Saccharomyces cerevisiae S288C: one gene and its partners. The protein of the gene in region 1 interacts with the protein of each later gene in a pairwise test. Each region holds a gene or a part of one and is shown on either strand. Other genes may lie near its edges. The genes, in order: MYO5, BNR1, UBP7 and SAP1.

Region 1 (5,952 bases):
AAGAAATCCAATTCCAACAAAAACAACTCTTCCATCAAACGCACTAAACCAATTAACCAGTCGCGCACAAGATGAATTTGTCATGCAAAGTATCAATAAAGCAGCAGATTTGATCAACTTGGCAAAGAAACCTGTCTTATACGTCGGTGCTGGTATTTTAAACCATGCAGATGGTCCAAGATTACTAAAAGAATTAAGTGACCGTGCTCAAATACCTGTCACCACTACTTTACAAGGTTTAGGTTCATTCGACCAAGAAGATCCAAAATCATTGGATATGCTTGGTATGCACGGTTGTGCTACTGCCAACCTGGCAGTGCAAAATGCCGACTTGATAATTGCAGTTGGTGCTAGATTCGACGACCGTGTCACTGGTAATATTTCTAAATTCGCTCCAGAAGCTCGTCGTGCAGCTGCCGAGGGTAGAGGTGGTATTATTCATTTCGAGGTTAGTCCAAAAAACATAAACAAGGTTGTTCAAACTCAAATAGCAGTGGAAGGTGATGCTACGACCAATCTGGGCAAAATGATGTCAAAGATTTTCCCAGTTAAGGAGAGGTCTGAATGGTTTGCTCAAATAAATAAATGGAAGAAGGAATACCCATACGCTTATATGGAGGAGACTCCAGGATCTAAAATTAAACCACAGACGGTTATAAAGAAACTATCCAAGGTTGCCAACGACACAGGAAGACATGTCATTGTTACAACGGGTGTGGGGCAACATCAAATGTGGGCTGCTCAACACTGGACATGGAGAAATCCACATACTTTCATCACATCAGGTGGTTTAGGTACGATGGGTTACGGTCTCCCTGCCGCCATCGGTGCTCAAGTTGCAAAGCCAGAATCTTTGGTTATTGACATTGATGGTGACGCATCCTTTAACATGACTCTAACGGAATTGAGTTCTGCCGTTCAAGCTGGTACTCCAGTGAAGATTTTGATTTTGAACAATGAAGAGCAAGGTATGGTTACTCAATGGCAATCCCTGTTCTACGAACATCGTTATTCCCACACACATCAATTGAACCCTGATTTCATAAAACTAGCGGAGGCTATGGGTTTAAAAGGTTTAAGAGTCAAGAAGCAAGAGGAATTGGACGCTAAGTTGAAAGAATTCGTTTCTACCAAGGGCCCAGTTTTGCTTGAAGTGGAAGTTGATAAAAAAGTTCCTGTTTTGCCAATGGTGGCAGGTGGTAGCGGTCTAGACGAGTTCATAAATTTTGACCCAGAAGTTGAAAGACAACAGACTGAATTACGTCATAAGCGTACAGGCGGTAAGCACTGAATTTCAAAAACATTTATTTCAAAAGCATTTTCAGTAAAAAATGCAGACTTTATTATTATTTAATCGTGCTTCTTATATATGACATTCTACCAAATCGGTAGTCATGTATATTTTTTTCGTATATACTTTATATATTTTTTTCTAAAAAACTAATGACGGCTAAAATTAAGTCATAGATGAATAATAAGTTCAATTCAAGTGAGTTGGTAGTATTTGATAAATCTAAAGTGGATACGTAGCATATGTATTCAAATGGTGTGTTTTAACTCGTCGGACACGACTTCTTTCTCGTTTTGTCAATCATCAAAAATATTTCTCGAAAAGGGGCCGTCAAAAATTGCAAGCTTGGAAAATACAAACTGGACTATGTATTTAAAGGTTATAGTTTATAATAAAGCATAAGAACAGTGGCCAATACGAATTTAACCGCTTTATAGAAATGGCTATCTTAAAAAGAGGAGCTAGAAAAAAGGTACATCAGGAGCCAGCTAAACGCTCTGCGAATATCAAGAAAGCTACTTTTGATTCCTCGAAGAAGAAAGAAGTTGGTGTGTCTGATCTGACGCTTCTTTCTAAAATCTCCGACGAAGCCATAAATGAAAACTTGAAGAAGAGATTTTTGAATGCTACAATCTACACTTATATAGGTCATGTGTTAATTAGTGTCAATCCATTCCGAGACCTCGGAATCTATACTGATGCTGTTATGAATGAATACAAAGGTAAGAATAGATTGGAAGTTCCACCCCATGTATTTGCAATTGCAGAGTCTATGTACTACAACATGAAATCATATAATGAAAATCAGTGTGTTATTATTTCAGGTGAATCAGGTGCCGGTAAAACTGAAGCAGCTAAAAGAATTATGCAATATATTGCGGCTGCTTCTAGCACACATACGGAGTCAATTGGAAAGATTAAAGACATGGTTTTAGCCACTAATCCATTGTTGGAATCTTTTGGCTGTGCAAAGACTCTAAGAAATAACAACTCTTCTAGACATGGGAAATATCTAGAAATAAAATTCAATAACCAGTTTGAACCATGTGCTGGTAATATCACAAACTATTTATTGGAGAAGCAGAGAGTTGTGAGTCAAATTAAGAATGAAAGAAATTTCCATATATTCTATCAGTTCACGAAAGGTGCTTCCGATGCTTATAGGCAAACATTTGGGGTCCAAAAACCGGAACAATATGTGTACACAGCTGCTGCGGGTTGCATATCTGCTGAGACAATTGATGATTTGCAAGATTATCAAGAGACATTAAAAGCTATGAGAGTTATTGGTCTCGGTCAAGAAGAACAAGACCAAATTTTCAGGATGTTAGCTGCAATTCTTTGGATTGGTAATGTTTCCTTTATAGAAAATGAGGAGGGGAATGCGCAAGTTAGGGACACCTCAGTAACCGATTTTGTTGCTTACTTGTTACAAATAGATAGCCAATTGCTGATTAAATCACTTGTGGAAAGAATTATGGAAACCAATCATGGTATGAAAAGAGGGTCAGTGTATCATGTTCCATTGAATATTGTCCAAGCAGATGCGGTTAGAGATGCTTTGGCAAAGGCTATTTACAATAACTTATTTGACTGGATTGTGAGTAGGGTTAACAAATCTCTGCAGGCTTTTCCAGGCGCTGAAAAATCCATTGGTATTCTTGATATTTACGGCTTTGAAATTTTTGAACATAACTCTTTTGAGCAGATTTGTATCAATTATGTTAATGAAAAGTTACAACAAATCTTTATTCAATTGACATTGAAATCTGAGCAAGAAACTTACGAGAGAGAAAAAATCCAATGGACCCCAATTAAATACTTTGATAACAAGGTTGTGTGTGATTTGATTGAGGCAAGAAGACCACCTGGTATATTTGCAGCAATGAATGATTCTGTTGCAACTGCACACGCGGATTCAAATGCTGCTGATCAGGCTTTTGCTCAGCGTTTGAACTTGTTCACAACAAATCCACATTTTGACTTGAGATCTAACAAGTTTGTTATTAAGCATTATGCCGGTGATGTCACATACGATATTGACGGTATTACAGATAAAAATAAGGATCAATTACAAAAGGATCTGGTAGAATTAATTGGTACCACTACCAATACATTTTTAGCCACCATTTTCCCGGATACTGTAGACAGAGAATCAAAAAGAAGGCCACCTACAGCAGGCGACAAAATTATAAAGAGTGCAAATGATTTGGTTGAAACTTTATCAAAAGCACAACCTTCATATATCAGAACAATTAAACCAAACGAAACCAAATCTCCTAACGATTATGACGATCGGCAAGTTCTACACCAGATTAAGTATCTAGGTCTGCAAGAAAACGTGCGTATCAGAAGAGCAGGTTTTGCATATAGACAAGTGTTTGAGAAGTTCGTGGAAAGATTTTATTTATTATCTCCACACTGTTCTTACGCTGGTGACTATACATGGCAAGGTGATACCTTAGATGCTGTTAAGTATATATTGCAAGATTCCTCTATCCCACAGCAGGAGTACCAATTGGGTGTCACAAGTGTTTTCATCAAAACACCTGAAACATTATTTGCTTTGGAGCATATGAGAGATAGATACTGGCACAATATGGCTGCCAGAATCCAACGTGCTTGGAGGAGATTTTTGCAAAGAAGAATTGATGCGGCCACTAAGATCCAGCGCACCATCAGGGAGAGGAAGGAAGGTAATAAGTATGAGAAGCTCCGGGATTATGGTACGAAGGTTTTGGGTGGAAGAAAAGAAAGAAGGTCTATGTCCTTATTAGGTTACAGAGCCTTCATGGGTGATTATCTATCATGCAACGAGTCCAAATCGAAGGGCGCTTATATCAAAAGACAAGTGAGCATTAAAGAGAAGGTCATCTTTTCCATACATGGTGAGGCCTTGCATACAAAATTTGGCCGTTCTGCACAAAGATTGAAAAAAACTTTCCTATTAACTCCAACTACATTGTACATTGTTGGTCAGACTTTGGTCCAAAATGCTATGACCTATACTCAGGATTATAAAATCGATGTGCGAAACATTCAAGCGGTTAGTTTAACCAATTTACAGGATGATTGGGTCGCCATTAAGTTGGCTAGCTCAGGTCAACCTGACCCCTTAATCAACACATATTTCAAAACAGAACTCATAACGCATCTGAAAAGGCTTAACGACAAAATTCAAATTAAAATAGGCTCGGCGATAGAGTACCAAAAGAAACCTGGAAAGTTGCATTCAGTGAAATGTCAAATCAATGAATCTGCACCAAAATATGGCGACATATATAAATCCAGTACAATATCAGTTCGTCGTGGTAACCCACCTAATTCTCAAGTGCACAAAAAACCGAGAAAAAAGAGTTCAATCTCTTCAGGATATCATGCTAGTTCCTCGCAAGCAACGAGGAGGCCAGTTTCGATTGCTGCAGCCCAGCATGTTCCCACCGCCCCGGCTTCTAGGCATTCTAAAAAGCCTGCCCCTCCACCACCAGGAATGCAGAACAAAGCTGCTACAAGAAGATCTGTTCCTAATCCTGCTTCCACTCTCACTGCATCCCAAAGTAATGCCCGTCCTTCTCCCCCTACTGCTGCCACTCGTGCTACACCCGCTGCTACACCCGCTGCTGCCGCAATGGGCTCTGGTAGACAGGCAAATATCCCTCCACCACCTCCTCCACCCCCACCCTCTTCAAAGCCAAAAGAACCCATGTTTGAAGCGGCTTACGATTTTCCTGGTTCAGGATCACCATCTGAGTTACCTTTAAAGAAAGGAGACGTAATTTACATTACAAGAGAAGAACCAAGCGGTTGGTCTCTCGGGAAACTTCTGGATGGCTCTAAGGAAGGTTGGGTGCCAACAGCTTACATGAAACCACATTCCGGAAATAATAATATCCCTACTCCTCCTCAAAACAGGGATGTTCCTAAACCCGTTCTGAATTCTGTACAACATGATAACACCTCTGCAAACGTTATTCCAGCTGCAGCCCAAGCAAGTTTGGGTGATGGTTTGGCGAATGCGCTTGCTGCTAGGGCCAATAAAATGAGATTAGAGAGTGATGACGAGGAGGCTAACGAAGATGAAGAGGAAGATGATTGGTAATCAAAATGTATTTAGCGAGTATATACTCTATACGAGCAAATAGAGTAAATTGTAATTAATAAATATTGATATATTATCGCCCATATGAAATTTTTAAACGAAAGGTTACTTATACATCAAATAATTAATTAACCTTAAACATTACGTTCAGGAAGAACAATGAGCGTAAATGGTACTAATTAAAATAACGGCGGCAGATAATGAAAAATATTGGCGTAACCCCCACTTGTTATTGCCATTTCTGTCAAACCAAGGTTTTCTTTCCATCGCAAAACGGACGAGCTTTTCCTTTTGTGCGCTATTTGGAGGGTATCTCATAAAAAGGGTAAAATCATTCCAATATGGTTGTTTAAAAATTGTTCTTTCATGACTAAAGGTATTGAATCCATAATATCCACCATAGTTACCATAACCTGAAGTACCGATCCCTCCAAATGGAGCGTCGGTAATTCCTACATGAATCACTGTATCACCGACAACACAGTCACCAGATCTTAAGCGCGTCAAGATACGATTTATTTCAGTTTGGCTATCAGAGAATATGTATTGCACCAATGGAGTG
Region 2 (6,374 bases), on another chromosome or scaffold:
TGAAAATGGAAAATTATAAACAAATTGATAAACTACGTAATAGCTTTTACAAAACCATATAAATATGAGCATAATAAAAAGGGAGAATATTAACTATTATCAAGTATTAAAACTATTCTTTAATAAAGATGGCGGCGGCACCCATACCAGTACCGATACACATACTAACAACCCCGATTTGATCCTTTTTCAGTTCTCTTAGTATGGTAGCTACTTGCCTTGCGCCAGTACAACCCAAGGGATGGCCTAACGCGATTGCACCACCTCTTGGATTTACTTTATTCAAATCGATGCCCAGTTTATGGATGCAGTATAATGCTTGGGCCGCGAATGCTTCATTTATTTCAAAAATATCGATATCTTGGACTTGCAAGCCAGTAGCTTCCAGGACTTTTGGTATGGCGTATGCAGGGCCCACACCCATGATTTCAGGGGGAACCCCCACTGTTTGAAAATCGATGTAGCGACCTAGCACAGGCAGATTTAACTGGTTGGCTACGGACCTGCGGGCTAACAAGACACCTGCCACACCATCGGAGACCTGGGATGCATTGCCCGCAGTTGTGGTTCCTCTGTCTTTGATAAAGGCAGGCCTGATGCTTGAAAGCGACTCCGCAGTGACGTTAGGGCGTGGCCCTTCGTCCGACTGGCAAATTGAGCCATCTGGTAATTTTATAGGTAAAATTTCATCTTCGAAAAGCCCCTCATTTTTCGCCTTGTAAGCTTTTTGATATGAATTCGCAGCGAACTCGTCTTGATCCTTTCTACTGATCTTGAAATTAGCGGCAACATTCTCATTAGTAATGCCCATTGGTATTAGACATTTCTTCGCTTCTCGGTTTTTTTGCAGCTCTTCAGAGGAGATCATGCCCAAGGGATTGACGTTTTTGTAGTTATTGGTCATTGATTCCACTCCCAGCGCCAAACCAATATCAATTTGCCCAACCTTAATCTTGTTGGCAATATCGTTCACCGCCGTTAAACCTGAAGAACATTGTCTGTTTAAAGCGACAAATGGCGTCGAGTAGGGAATCCCACTTGCCAAGCATGCAGCCCTGTGTTCTGTAGCACCGGCTCCAACATTGAGAACATTTCCACAGGCAACTTCTTCGATTAAGTTCAAATCAGCCCTCAAAGGTTCCGGAAACCTCCCGATGAACTCATTGAGAAAGTTGTATAATAAGTAGTCTGTGTTTACATCTTTGAAGGCACCTTTAAAACCTTTACCGATGGCAGACCTGTTAGCAGCCACAATAACTACATCTTCGGGTCTTTTCTCCAGCAACGAGTTCTTCCTCTTCGATTCACCCTTACCCATGGCGCTCTCCACCAAATGATCCTTGATACTTTGTAGTCTTTGAGACATTGCTTTTATGTAGTGTTATATTCACTCTGTACTCAGAGCCACAAGAAATAACCATTCGATTTCAATAGAACTGAGATGCAAAAGTATACCCTATTTATATCTCTTCTTTCTAGTAAAACTCCAATAAATTTGAAACCAATAGAGGGAGAAAGGAAAAAAAAGCTGCGGTGTTAATACTATTATCCCCGTTTCCCTTTGATAGCGCCTTACACGGCGCTACCACATCATTACCCTCCTCATGTTGACGCGTCAAGTTTTTTTTCTTTTTTCGCTATTTGTGGCATAGGTTCAAAACTAGCAAATTCTTGATCTTTTGAAGATTACATAGTGATGATGATCGTGACACAAAAGCAGATAAAAAAATAGCACAATCATCAGCGATGGACTCTTCCCCGAACAAGAAGACGTACCGCTACCCTCGCAGATCGCTGTCACTTCACGCGCGTGATAGGGTCAGCGAAGCCCGTAAATTGGAAGAATTGAATTTGAACGATGGGCTGGTTGCCGCTGGCTTGCAGTTGGTCGGTGTAGCGTTAGAGAAACAAGGTACAGGATCACATATATACATGAAACAGAAGAATTTCTCAGCTAATGACGTTTCTTCGTCACCAATGGTTTCCGAAGAAGTGAACGGATCGGAAATGGATTTTAATCCGAAGTGCATGCCTCAGGACGCATCACTCGTCGAAAGAATGTTTGATGAGCTTTTAAAAGATGGAACTTTTTTTTGGGGGGCTGCTTATAAGAATTTACAAAACATCTCTCTACGAAGGAAATGGTTATTGATATGTAAAATCCGTAGTTCCAATCATTGGGGGAAAAAGAAAGTGACTTCGAGCACGACATACTCTACACATTTGGCCACTAATGAACTAGCTGAAAACGCACACTTTTTGGATGGCCTAGTTAGAAACCTTTCAACAGGTGGCATGAAGTTATCGAAGGCTCTATATAAACTAGAAAAATTCCTGCGAAAGCAAAGCTTTTTGCAACTTTTTCTCAAGGATGAAATTTACTTGACGACATTGATCGAAAAGACTTTGCCACTCATATCCAAGGAATTACAATTTGTTTATCTTCGGTGCTTTAAAATACTGATGAACAACCCACTGGCGAGAATAAGAGCACTACATTCTGAGCCTTTAATTCGCTGGTTCACCGAGCTTCTGACGGATCAAAATTCTAATTTGAAATGTCAGTTACTTTCTATGGAGTTACTTTTATTATTAACGTATGTTGAGGGTTCCACGGGTTGTGAGTTGATATGGGACCAGCTTTCCATATTATTCACCGATTGGCTAGAATGGTTTGACAAAATCCTTGCGGATGATATTGCAATTCATTCATCCCTTTATTTGAACTGGAACCAATTAAAAATAGACTATTCGACAACTTTCCTACTGCTAATAAACTCCATACTGCAAGGTTTCAACAACAAGACTGCACTAGAAATTTTGAATTTTTTGAAAAAGAATAATATACATAACACTATCACATTTTTAGAACTGGCCTATAAAGATGATCCTAATAGTGTCGTGATCATGGAACAAATAAAACAATTCAAATCCAAAGAATCTGCGATATTTGACTCGATGATAAAAACTACCAACGATACGAATTCGCTTCACCCAACAAAAGATATCGCAAGAATAGAAAGCGAGCCTCTATGTCTTGAAAATTGCCTGTTATTGAAGGCAAAAGATAGTCCCGTAGAGGCACCAATAAACGAGATTATTCAATCGCTGTGGAAAATCTTAGACTCTCAAAAACCATACTCAGAATCTATTAAACTATTAAAATTGATAAATTCTTTGCTGTTTTATCTCATAGATTCCTTTCAAGTGTCAACGAATCCTTCTTTTGATGAAACCTTGGAGTCCGCAGAAAATGTGGATTATGTTTTTCAAGATTCTGTTAATAAATTGTTGGATTCTCTACAATCTGATGAAATTGCTAGAAGAGCGGTCACAGAAATTGATGATCTTAATGCTAAGATTTCTCATTTGAATGAAAAATTAAATTTAGTAGAAAATCATGATAAAGATCATTTAATAGCAAAACTAGATGAAAGTGAATCTTTGATATCTCTGAAAACCAAGGAAATTGAAAATCTGAAACTGCAGTTGAAGGCAACCAAGAAAAGACTAGACCAAATTACCACGCATCAAAGGTTATATGACCAGCCACCTTCATTGGCAAGTAGCAACTTGAGTATTGCCGGCTCGATAATAAAAAATAATAGTCATGGAAATATCATTTTCCAAAATTTAGCAAAAAAGCAACAGCAGCAGCAAAAAATTTCTCTGCCCAAGCGTTCAACTAGTCTACTAAAAAGTAAAAGAGTTACGTCCCTTTCATCATATTTAACTGATGCAAATAACGAAAATGAGTCCCAAAATGAATCCGAAGATAAATCAAAAGACTCATTATTTCAAAGATCTACGTCAACCATTAATTTTAATATCCCTTCTATGAAAAATATTACTAATATGCAAAATGTCTCTCTAAATTCGATACTTTCAGAGTTGGAATTTTCAAATAGCCTAGGAACACAACCTAATTACCAATCGTCTCCCGTGTTGTCTTCGGTTTCTTCTTCACCAAAACTTTTCCCTCGACTTTCCTCAGATAGTCTTGATAATGGAATCCAACTAGTACCTGAAGTTGTTAAACTACCTCAACTTCCACCGCCCCCTCCTCCACCTCCCCCTCCTCCACTTCCACAGTCTCTTTTGACTGAAGCAGAAGCTAAACCGGATGGTGTTTCCTGTATTGCAGCACCTGCACCGCCACCCCTTCCAGATCTATTTAAAACTAAAACTTGTGGCGCCGTTCCACCACCACCACCGCCACCGCCTTTACCCGAGTCCTTGTCGATGAACAAAGGCCCCTCCAATCACGATTTAGTTACTCCTCCAGCTCCACCTTTACCAAATGGTCTTCTTTCTTCCTCCTCAGTGTCTATCAATCCAACGACAACCGATTTAAAACCACCTCCAACTGAAAAGCGATTGAAGCAAATCCACTGGGATAAGGTGGAGGATATCAAAGACACACTTTGGGAAGACACGTTTCAACGCCAAGAAACAATCAAAGAATTACAAACTGATGGTATATTCTCTCAGATTGAAGATATTTTTAAGATGAAAAGTCCGACTAAGATTGCAAATAAAAGGAACGCAGAATCCTCAATTGCCTTGTCTTCAAACAATGGCAAGTCTTCCAATGAGCTGAAGAAAATTTCATTCTTATCAAGAGATTTGGCTCAGCAATTTGGTATTAATTTACACATGTTTTCCCAATTATCTGATATGGAATTTGTTATGAAAGTATTGAACTGTGATAACGACATTGTCCAAAATGTTAACATACTGAAATTTTTTTGTAAAGAAGAGTTAGTAAATATACCAAAAAGTATGCTTAATAAGTACGAGCCATATTCACAGGGTAAGGATGGTAAAGCAGTAAGTGACTTACAAAGAGCTGACAGAATATTTTTGGAGTTGTGTATCAATTTAAGATTTTATTGGAATGCAAGATCAAAGAGTCTGCTGACATTGTCAACATACGAGAGAGATTATTACGATTTGATTTTCAAGTTACAAAAAATTGATGATGCAATTTCACACTTAAATCGTTCACCTAAATTTAAAAGTTTGATGTTTATTATCACGGAAATAGGCAATCATATGAATAAAAGAATTGTTAAGGGTATCAAATTGAAGTCATTGACTAAACTTGCCTTTGTCAGATCCAGTATTGATCAAAATGTATCATTTTTGCATTTTATTGAAAAAGTCATAAGAATAAAATATCCTGATATATACGGTTTTGTGGATGATTTGAAGAACATTGAAGATTTAGGTAAAATCTCACTAGAACACGTTGAATCAGAGTGTCATGAATTTCATAAAAAAATTGAGGATTTAGTTACTCAGTTTCAAGTAGGAAAGCTATCCAAAGAGGAGAACTTAGACCCCAGAGATCAAATTATTAAAAAGGTCAAGTTTAAGATTAATCGGGCCAAAACAAAAAGTGAATTATTGATTGGTCAATGTAAATTAACTTTAATAGATTTGAATAAACTGATGAAATATTACGGTGAAGATCCCAAAGATAAAGAGAGTAAAAACGAATTTTTCCAACCCTTTATTGAATTTTTAGCCATGTTTAAGAAATGTGCCAAGGAAAACATTGAAAAGGAGGAAATGGAAAGAGTGTACGAACAAAGGAAGAGCTTGTTAGATATGAGGACAAGCAGTAATAAGAAAAGCAATGGAAGTGATGAAAACGATGGTGAAAAAGTAAACAGGGATGCTGTTGATCTACTCATATCTAAATTACGCGAAGTAAAGAAGGATCCAGAACCTCTAAGAAGAAGAAAGAGTACAAAACTCAATGAAATAGCCATTAACGTACATGAAGGAGATGTAAAAACGAGAAAGGATGAAGATCACGTTTTACTAGAGAGAACGCATGCTATGCTGAACGATATTCAAAATATATAGTGAAGACTTAGTATTTTATGTAGTTGTGGAGCTTATATAAAGAAATGGACAATATTCGCAATCGCTTCTCAAAAGGGAAATATTTTCCCTTTTCGGGCGGTGGTCGTGTTGACAAATTTCCTAGTTAAGAACTAAGATTTGGAGATGGACAGATTCATTAATAAATTTCAAAATAAGCACAGAAAGCATCGAATTTTTAGCTCAAAACAATCTACTTTTCAATCATCAAAACAGACTATTGAATAAAGATGGGCAATGTGTCTGTGGCAGTGGGAACGGCAGTTGGGATTCCAATTGCTGTGGGCGTAATAATAGCCCTGATATTTTGGTGTAAATTACAACGACGTTACAAAAAAGAAGAGATTAGAGATGCTGATTTGGAGAAGATGGTAATGGAAGAAGTGGCAGTGTCGGTATATGATGGTTTTAAAGCCGAAATTAACAGCTCAAGTGAAGCTTCCACGATAAACGAAAAGGAAGCAAACCAGGATCTTAAACCC
Region 3 (5,638 bases), on another chromosome or scaffold:
TTTCAATCATCAAAACAGACTATTGAATAAAGATGGGCAATGTGTCTGTGGCAGTGGGAACGGCAGTTGGGATTCCAATTGCTGTGGGCGTAATAATAGCCCTGATATTTTGGTGTAAATTACAACGACGTTACAAAAAAGAAGAGATTAGAGATGCTGATTTGGAGAAGATGGTAATGGAAGAAGTGGCAGTGTCGGTATATGATGGTTTTAAAGCCGAAATTAACAGCTCAAGTGAAGCTTCCACGATAAACGAAAAGGAAGCAAACCAGGATCTTAAACCCTGCCAAGAAAAAACCGCCAAGGCAGGGTACACACCAGCATACAGAAGGCAATTGAACGCTAGTATGGGGACTTTGCGTCCAAAAAAGCAGAGCACTGCATATACCAATGTCCCCGTCATTTTCAGCGGCGAAAAGGTGAATTATGGGATGGTCAGAGATCCTTCCTATAGTTTTATGTATCCACTGACGCTATCGCGCAAAGAAACGAGTAGTTTGAGATCAGCTTCTACGTCAAACTTGTCATCGAGCACAGAAAATACTGCGTTACACGAAGAAATAAAACTGGATGACCCATATGAAAACGATTTTACGAATTATACTGTCAACAAGAGAGAATTTATTGACAGCTTACGGCCACACTAATATATATGCATATAGATATATAAACGTACCTACATAGTTTTGCATTTGTATAGATACCCAGACCACTTGTAATAACGATAAAAATAAAATAATAATAAAGGATATTTACAGACAAATAGCACCATACTTGCTATTAAATTGGTGTCTTGGTATTTTCAGCTAGCAAATCGATCTTTTGGCCAGCGGCAGTGACGCTCCATTCATGAATCAAAAACTCTTCGTCGTGAGTGTTCCTATCGGCAACCAGTCTAACGGTTCCAGTAACGTTTTTGTCCCCCTTGATATAAAACGTAATGTTAATCCTACCCTTCACAGAGTTCAGTTCACCGTAGACCCAAGGGATGATACCATCAAATTCTATGCTCTCACCCAGTATGTTTTTAGTTGCTGGAGACCGTCTTATATAATACAGCGTGTTGGAGATAATGGGGGACTCCGTCTTTTCATAGTTGAAGATCAAAGATAGTGCGGACCCAATGGCCACAGAAAACAACAAAAATCCAGCTATTCGCTTTCTCCTCTCCGTGGTTGGGTCAGGCAATTCTCTGTCAATTCTCAATGGCCTGTTCTTGTCTTTCAAAACGATCTTGGCCTCATCTTCAGCGACACTATTATTGAATCTAGCGCTGGTAGAGAATGAGTGCAGCAAGGAACCACGCACTAGCACAGCCTTAGCTGCAGAAGGTGTCACTTTCGGCAACCCTTTAGTTACTAGTCTTAACATCATGTATAGTCTGTTTTATCTTTTACTTTTATGTCGTGGACTGGTACGGAGAGAAAGATCGAACTGTTTTAAAACTGGGATTAAAATGACAAGAAGGCGCTTTCTTTCTCTCCACAATGATCAAAACAAGAACAAGCAAAACGCAAAGAGATGACATTAGTAAGTACCCAAATGAGCTACTAACAACGCATCCGGTAATACTAACAAGAGAAATTGGTTAGGTAGGGAAACTAGTACACATATCCATAGATTTGGTCTTGGTATCAACGTGCCTCGCGGGGATTAAACGCAATACAGGTTTGACGCCTAAACTGGAGACTCTGGACAATCAGACTATGAGAAACTACATGAAGCGGTACTTGAACTTGGGAGAGTCTGTATACGACTATTCTGTTGCCACTTGTGGCTCCTCGACGTATTTCGCTAGGAAATAGGTACGTTTATATTCTATATATGTTGATAATATTTTGTATAACGGCACCCAGCCGGGGGCCAAAATTAATAACCGCAACTTAAAGAGCTATCGCTATCGATTACGCATAGAACTTTAAATGCTAGACGATGATAAGGGCACGGCCATGCATCCACATATAACGCCGTTCACGCCTGAGTACTCAAATGAATTACTGCGAAGGGTCCAGGACCTGTACCACGAAGATATCAAGCACTACTATCCGCAGCTAAAACTGGAGAAGCTGCTGGACCTTCTGGAGCATACAGAGTACCTATTCGAGTTATATCTAGATTCAATCCATCACGATAGGCCCAACGATGCACTGACAGCGTTTATCATTGGATGCTACTACGTGTTCTTAATTATTCCACAATCTTTGCAGTTCCAAACACGAAACAAGTCCTACAGCATCTATACAGATCTAAAAAAGATGTATGAGAATGAAATGAACATGACCAATGTTGTGCTTATGGTGAAGAAAGAAATCGGTGTGGTCCTAGATGAATCGGTTAAACACGGGGCCGGTATTGAGCACAGAATCACCAAGAAGAGGGCATTTTCAGTTCCAGCTGACGATCTTTCAGGTCAGGTAGCTTCACTATCACTTGACACCGCGGCACCGCAAGATCATGGCCTCAAAGGCACGTTTACTGAAGACGACGCAGAACAATCTTCACCTGTTTGGACAGCACCAAACTTAGAGCCCAACGACCAATTGAAACTGGCTTTATTGCCCGAAGTGATACCAACGCCAGCTTTTCGTGAGCCTGAAAGAAAGACAAGTGTTCCAGTGAGACCATCTGTTTTATTGGAAGATGTACCCTCCATATACCACGAGGATGACACTAGTTTCGCATCTTTGAACCCACCATTTCGAGAAATAACCGCAGATAGATCAGTAACTCATCGAAAGGATTCTTACCATTCTGTTTATATGGTGGATAGCGGCAACCTCAAGGAAGACAATGATGATCTGTTCAACGTTGAGAATGATGGCTTCATCCAGAGTTTGGATATTTTACAAAAGCAGAGTATAATCACAGCACCAGAATTGTTTAGTATTTTATCGAATCGCGTTGAACGTGAAAAGGTTTTACTCATCGACTTGAGAATACCACAAAGATCTGCAATAAATCACATTGTGGCTCCGAACTTAGTGAATGTGGATCCAAACTTGTTGTGGGACAAGCAGACGAACACACCTATCTACAAGGATGACATATTGGAACATTTACTGAAGGAGAATGAGAATTTTATAAACCGTAATAAATTTGATTACATTGTTTACTATACTGATGTGAAGACCTTCATGACTATAAATTTTGATTATGCATTTATTTTTTTTTATTTGATGCTGACTTCTCAGAAGACTCCTTTAACAACTGTACCTACTACCCTCTTAGGTGGGTACGAAAAATGGAAGAAAACTCTGCATTCGTATGCCCAGGAGTATCATATCTCTATTGAAGATTACTTGTACAGACCTTACTCACAGAAGGCGCGCTTACAACAGGAGCAGCAGCAGCAGCAGCAGCAGCCGGATTCTCAGGACTCTTTTTCCGCTAAGGAATCATCTACAAAAGTTCCTGAGCCTCCCTCCTGGAAGCCCCCTGACCTGCCTATAAGGTTAAGGAAACGTCCTCCACCTCCACCGCCTGTATCAATGCCCACAACCCCAGAAATTCCACCTCCTCTGCCCCCTAAGATAATGGTTCATTCACAAGTCAGTTCTATCTCTCGAAAGCCGCCAATACCAGCAAAGCAGCATGTCAAAAAGGAACAACTTAACTCCAATGAAATTATTCAAAGAAAAAGACAGCACCAGCATCAGCATTACGACCAACAAATATTACAACCGCAAAGGGCGTACAATATTCCAACTATTGAACGCAGTCCAAACGTATACGTTTCGTTGTCCATCACGGGACTAAGAAATTTGGGCAATACATGTTACATTAATAGTATGATACAATGTCTATTCGCTGCGAAAACATTCCGGACACTCTTCATTTCATCCAAATATAAGAGCTATCTGCAACCAATAAGGAGCAACGGATCTCATTATTCTCCTAAACTTTCGAATTCACTAAGTATGCTCTTCAACAAGATGTATCTAAATGGTGGTTGCTCAGTTGTCCCAACAGGATTTCTCAAAGTTATCAATCAATTGCGTCCCGATTTGAAAATTCCTGATGACCAACAGGATACCCAAGAGTTCCTAATGATACTTTTAGACAGGTTACACGATGAACTTTCCGACCAACAGCATGTAGCGAACGATTATCCGAATTTATTATTGTATAATGCAGATGCCCTAAAGGTTTCAAACAACGAATATAAGCACTGGTTTGACAAAAATGTCATTGGTAATGGTATATCTCCTATTGATGACATTTTTCAAGGGCAAATGGAGAACAGCTTACAATGTAAAAGGTGCGGTTACACTACTTTCAACTATAGCACATTTTATGTTTTATCACTGGCTATACCAAGACGTTCCATGAAGTTGAGTAAACTTGGTAGGTCTACTGAGAAAAGAGTTAAGTTAGAGGATTGTATTAATATGTTTACAAGCGATGAGGTACTCTCTGGTGAAAATGCATGGGATTGCCCACGCTGTGGCCCCACGGCGTCTGTGTCTACATCTGTGTCTGCATTAGAGAATGAGCCATCCATTGTTAAGAGTAAAAAGAAAAAAAGTCGGTTTTTTACATTACATACAGGAACCAAGCGTCGTCATCTCGACTTTTTTGGAGACGGTATTACTGAGGGCCATAATAGCAATAATAATAATACGACAATCTTTGAACGAGAAAGGTCCAGATCACCCTTCAGGATGTTGGGTGGTAGTGGGAAGAGGTCCAGTTCCAGTACACCGTTCAGTACTGGTGGTAATGATAGTAACAACTCGAGTGATTACAAGAACAAAAAATTGACAACAGTGAAAACGATAAATTTTGTAACTTTACCAAAAATCTTAGTCATCCATTTATCGAGATTTTATTACGATTTGACCAAGAAAAATAACACCGTCGTAACATATCCATTGATACTAAACATTATATTGAAAAACAATGACACTATGAAATATAAGCTATTTGGAGTGGTTAACCATACAGGCACATTAATCAGTGGCCATTACACGTCACTGGTGAATAAAGACCTTGAACACAATGTGAATATTGGGCGTTCTAAATGGTACTATTTCGACGATGAGGTTGTCAAGGCAGATAGGAAACATGGATCTGATAAAAACTTGAAAATTTCAAGTAGCGATGTCTACGTATTGTTTTATGAAAGGGTTTATGACTAGCAAAATTTTGCATTTTTTTTTTTGCACCATAAATATGTATTGCGTATGCACCAGGACGTTGAAGAATATTATTTAGTGTTTCTATATTTTATGATAAAACTAGAGATAAAGGGGATAATTAAAACGATATTAAAACGGAAGTCTACACAATGATTATATAGATTATATTATGTATTGGAAATAGAATATAAACACTAGGAAGGTCATAATTTGAAGATCAATTGTAGTAGTAGAGTCTATTACCTCTTTTTTTTTTTTTCTTCATATATTTTTGTAGTTTTTTTAGTTTACTTTAACTCTTCCATTAAGGAAAATAGGTAATAATAGCGATTTCATTGCCATTACCACCATTATTATTATTGTTATTACTATCATTATTATTATTATCATCATTACCATTATTATTACTCTTGTGAATGTTATCTTTGTCACCCTTAACTATCATGATCGATTTAGACACCAAACGTCTTGATGAAGTTCACAGTTTTTTCAAGTTCCCA
Region 4 (4,875 bases), on another chromosome or scaffold:
AGAGGGAATATGGTAAAGGAGACGGAGTATTATGATATTTTGGGCATCAAGCCTGAGGCCACGCCCACTGAAATCAAAAAGGCCTATCGTAGAAAGGCTATGGAAACACATCCGGACAAGCATCCTGATGACCCAGATGCTCAAGCAAAGTTTCAAGCCGTAGGCGAGGCCTACCAAGTCTTAAGTGATCCAGGGCTTCGTTCCAAGTATGACCAGTTTGGTAAGGAGGATGCTGTTCCTCAGCAAGGATTTGAAGATGCTTCTGAATACTTTACAGCAATATTCGGTGGTGATGGCTTCAAAGATTGGATTGGAGAATTTTCTTTGTTCAAAGAGCTAAACGAGGCAACAGAAATGTTTGGAAAGGAAGATGAGGAGGGTACAGCAGCCACTGAAACCGAAAAAGCAGATGAGAGCACTGATGGTGGAATGGTTAAGCATGACACTAATAAAGCTGAATCTTTGAAAAAAGATAAATTATCGAAGGAGCAAAGAGAGAAGCTAATGGAAATGGAGAAAAAAAGACGGGAAGATATGATGAAACAAGTCGACGAGTTGGCAGAAAAACTGAACGAAAAAATCTCTAGGTACTTAATTGCTGTGAAGTCCAATAACTTGGAGGAATTTACGCGAAAACTAGATCAAGAAATCGAGGATTTGAAATTAGAAAGTTTTGGTCTAGAGTTATTGTATTTATTGGCCAGGGTTTACAAGACAAAAGCGAATAATTTTATCATGTCCAAGAAGACTTACGGAATTTCTAAAATATTCACTGGTACACGCGACAATGCTAGATCTGTTAAATCAGCATACAATTTATTGTCTACAGGCTTAGAAGCTCAAAAAGCCATGGAAAAAATGAGTGAAGTCAATACTGACGAACTAGACCAATATGAACGTGCCAAATTTGAGTCCACAATGGCTGGTAAGGCACTTGGTGTCATGTGGGCTATGTCGAAATTTGAACTGGAAAGAAAACTAAAAGACGTTTGCAATAAGATTCTAAACGATAAAAAGGTCCCTTCCAAGGAACGTATTGCAAAGGCAAAAGCAATGCTGTTTATTGCCCACAAGTTTGCCAGTGCTAGAAGGTCACCAGAAGAAGCTGAAGAAGCTAGAGTTTTTGAAGAGCTAATCCTAGGTGAGCAGGAGAAGGAACACAAAAAACATACTGTGGCCAGATAAGCTCAGCAAGTTAATAACGCCTCATGTATATTTTTCATATATAGCGCAATCAATTACAAAGCGAAGAAAAAAAACCCTATGTATTCTAGACATATCACAGGCATACGGGTTTTCTCACACCAACCTTTCAAGTCTTCAGCACTTATGTTTTAACTTATTTTCTATTATTCAGTATATATATGGAATTAACACTGGCAACCCAAGCATCTTAGCCGAGATTCGCGGAGAAAATTGAAATCAAGAATAATAAAAATTCTTGATTCACGGTCATAAGAGGCTGAAGCAACAGCAACCGGCTCCCCAAGAACTACAATACGCGTCCGATATACTTTCTTATCAAATATATTGGTAATAATAAAGGCTGCAGTTCTTTTTTTAATATAGTCTTTTTACATTTATTGCAGCTAACAAACGCAATTTTTCTTTCCCTTTCACTCGTGCGGTTTTACCAGGATTGATTATATCGCACTGTGACACTATGGATTCACAAAGAAGCCATCATATTTTAACGAGATTAACCAAGATACGGAGAAGACCTCAACAACCGTTAACCGACTTTACAGAACTTTACAGTAGAATTGCCAATGAGACAATATATTACTTGAACCTAGAAGAGAAAAAACGATATAAAGAAGCATTGCAAGGATGGAAAGCGCTTACCACTGATGTACTATTCAAACAGACATTGATAGAGCATAACTACCCAAATACTCAATCATACACGAAAGATGAAGTTAGTTTACAGAACGGTATTCGAGAATTGTACCACAAGAGCGTTATGCATTTGAAAAGAGTCAAAAAATTGGTCCGAGAAGAGCCTGCTCCCAGGAATGATATGCCGTCATCCAAAACATACACTAATCATAGCTCATCTTTCACAAGGTCTACTGAACCACCTCCTGTATTCCAAATGGTTCCCGGAAGAATGATGAAAACATTAAGAAATAGAAATGCATGCGGCTATAAAACCGCATACTCCAACCCCTCACTATCATCATATGGTAACAGCACATCGATAAAACGCGGAGAAGATGCGGAGAACATTAGAGTAAATTTTGTACCTTCTAAGCCTTTATCCAACAATGCAAGCAGACAGCACAAGAACCCTATTGAGCACAATGATCCTCCACTTAAGAAGGAAACTGAACTGTACTCAGATAAATATATCTCAGAGCCAATATTGATAGATTTGACTAATGACGAGGATGATCACGATGTCGGCATTTTAAAAGGACACAACGTTTTTGATGAAGAAGAAAGTGATGGTTTCGAGTTTGATGTGTCCGATTACTATGATAATTTCTCCGAAGTCGACGTAGAAGAAGAAGAAGAAGAAAAAGAGGAAAGACGACGTATAAAAACGTTAGAAGCAATTCAACAGCAAATGTCTGACTTGTCTGTTACTTCTTCTACGTCCAGTAATAAGAGTGTAAGTTCTTCAGAAAATGTTCCCGGATCATGCATACAGTCCCTGCCGACTACCGCCCCTGCTCTTCCTTCATTACCTCCACCTCCTTTATTAAATGTCGATAGAGCGTCCAGCACTGGCGCTCTAAAGCCACATAGTTTAGAAACTTCTACTACTATGGATTCATCAAAGATTAGGAATCCTCAAATATCAAAATTAATGAAGAATAATCACGTACCATACTTAAAGGGTACCAAATCAACGCCCACTCTTATCACTAAATCAACGCCAACATTTATTACAAGATCAAAAAGTAATACAAAACCAATCATCAAATCCAATGCATCGTCTCCGACCTCTTCTCTGACTGTTCCAAATTCAGTAATTCAAAAACCCAAAACGGCTGCAATGGCTGCTAAGAGAGTTCTGAACAGCAAAAAGGTTGCGAGTAACCCCGCATTAAACACTACGAAGAAGAGTCACCCCATTTTGAAATCCAAAACGGCGAAAGTCCCAAATTCCAGTTCGAAGAAAACGAGTAGCCATCCTTCCAGACCTGTAAGTAACTCAAAACCATACTCGCATGGTGCATCCCAGAATAAGAAGCCATCGAAAAATCAAACCACGTCTATGAGTAAAACGAATCGAAAAATACCAGCACAAAAAAAAATCGGTTCTCCAAAAATAGAAGATGTTGGAACAGAAGATGCCACTGAACATGCCACTTCCCTAAATGAGCAAAGAGAAGAGCCTGAAATAGACAAGAAAGTCCTGAGGGAGATTTTAGAAGATGAAATTATTGATAGTTTACAAGGTGTAGATAGGCAAGCTGCAAAGCAAATTTTTGCCGAAATCGTAGTGCACGGAGATGAAGTTCATTGGGATGATATTGCTGGTTTAGAAAGTGCAAAATATTCTTTGAAGGAAGCAGTTGTCTATCCGTTTTTGAGACCAGACTTATTCAGGGGGTTACGTGAACCAGTCAGGGGGATGCTCTTATTTGGACCACCAGGTACAGGTAAAACAATGCTAGCGAGAGCTGTAGCTACAGAGTCGCACTCCACCTTTTTCTCTATTAGTGCTTCCAGTTTGACATCTAAATACTTGGGTGAAAGTGAAAAATTAGTGAGGGCACTATTTGCAATTGCCAAAAAATTGTCACCTTCTATAATATTTGTTGATGAAATTGACTCTATCATGGGTAGTAGGAATAACGAAAATGAAAATGAGTCAAGCCGAAGGATAAAGAATGAATTTCTTGTTCAGTGGTCATCCTTGTCCAGCGCAGCGGCTGGTTCAAACAAAAGTAACACTAACAATTCTGACACCAATGGCGACGAAGATGATACAAGGGTACTGGTACTTGCCGCGACAAACTTACCATGGTCTATTGATGAGGCTGCAAGGAGAAGATTTGTGAGAAGACAATATATCCCATTACCAGAGGACCAGACCAGACACGTTCAATTTAAGAAGCTTCTTTCCCATCAAAAGCACACGTTAACCGAATCAGATTTTGATGAACTGGTAAAGATTACTGAGGGCTATTCAGGAAGTGATATAACGTCTTTAGCGAAGGATGCTGCCATGGGCCCACTACGAGATCTGGGTGATAAGTTATTAGAAACAGAGAGGGAGATGATAAGACCCATAGGCCTTGTGGATTTTAAGAACAGTTTAGTGTATATCAAGCCCTCTGTATCCCAGGACGGATTAGTGAAGTACGAAAAGTGGGCTTCACAATTCGGATCATCAGGTTCATGATGATGATAATAATAATAATAATATAATAATAATGGTAATAATAAATAATATTCTAGCCTAGCTGGACAAACTGTGTGCACATAAGCGGATCGATAAAATATGTTCTGCATAATGTCACCTTTTCTTTTTTTTTTTTTTTTTTTTCTTTTTTTTGACTACTTAGTTTGTTAAACAATTTAATATTAGCGTAAACTATTACTAATCTAATCCATGACTGGTCGTAGGTAGTCTTACCCAGACCCTTCTTCTCACCAAGCCATTTTTCGATTTCCACCTAGAGTTATTGAAATTCCAGCTATAACACCATCCTTGATCGTCAATATCGTACTTTTCCTTGTAATCCATCAGTACGAACCACTTTGTCATCTGTGAACTGCTACTGCCTGCAGTGCGTTCAGTACTCAGATCGATAGGATACAGTTCTATGAAGTTCGATATAGTATTTTTCGACAGGGCAATTAACGAGCCATTTTCAGTGTTTAGTCTTTGAAATTGTGGTGGGTCAACGTGAGGCAGTA

The links.
Region 2: the proteins of MYO5 (region 1) and BNR1 interact in binary tests that used the Saccharomyces cerevisiae proteins (3 or more experiments, as listed by UniProt).
Region 3: the proteins of MYO5 (region 1) and UBP7 interact in binary tests that used the Saccharomyces cerevisiae proteins (3 or more experiments, as listed by UniProt).
Region 4: the proteins of MYO5 (region 1) and SAP1 interact in binary tests that used the Saccharomyces cerevisiae proteins (3 or more experiments, as listed by UniProt).

The regions. Positions count from the first base shown.
Region 1 is NC_001145.3:484,857-490,808, forward strand, and holds MYO5 (myosin 5), read left to right. Parts: upstream 1-1,730; coding exon 1,731-5,390; downstream 5,391-5,952. Other genes in the region: ILV2 (acetolactate synthase catalytic subunit), read left to right, coding at 1-1,291; HFD1 (hexadecenal dehydrogenase), read right to left, coding at 5,538-5,952. UniProt on the Saccharomyces cerevisiae protein: One of two redundant type-I myosins implicated in the organization of the actin cytoskeleton. Required for proper actin cytoskeleton polarization and for the internalization step in endocytosis.
Region 2 is NC_001141.2:40,079-46,452, forward strand, and holds BNR1 (formin BNR1), read left to right. Parts: upstream 1-1,746; coding exon 1,747-5,874; downstream 5,875-6,374. Other genes in the region: SMU2 (Smu2p), read left to right, coding at 1-62; POT1 (acetyl-CoA C-acyltransferase), read right to left, coding at 113-1,366; AIM20 (Aim20p), read left to right, coding at 6,123-6,374. UniProt on the Saccharomyces cerevisiae protein: May organize microtubules by mediating spindle positioning and movement in the budding process. Potential target of the RHO family members.
Region 3 is NC_001141.2:46,169-51,806, forward strand, and holds UBP7 (ubiquitin-specific protease UBP7), read left to right. Parts: upstream 1-1,922; coding exon 1,923-5,138; downstream 5,139-5,638. Other genes in the region: AIM20 (Aim20p), read left to right, coding at 33-647; COA1 (Coa1p), read right to left, coding at 781-1,374; ATG44 (mitofissin), read left to right, coding at 1,522-1,530, 1,593-1,805; GUT2 (glycerol-3-phosphate dehydrogenase), read right to left, coding at 5,591-5,638. UniProt on the Saccharomyces cerevisiae protein: Involved in the sorting of ubiquitinated cargo proteins at the multivesicular body (MVB).
Region 4 is NC_001137.3:243,292-248,166, reverse strand, and holds SAP1 (putative AAA family ATPase SAP1), read left to right. Parts: upstream 1-1,663; coding exon 1,664-4,357; downstream 4,358-4,875. Other genes in the region: CAJ1 (Caj1p), read left to right, coding at 10-1,185; SPO73 (Spo73p), read right to left, coding at 4,556-4,875.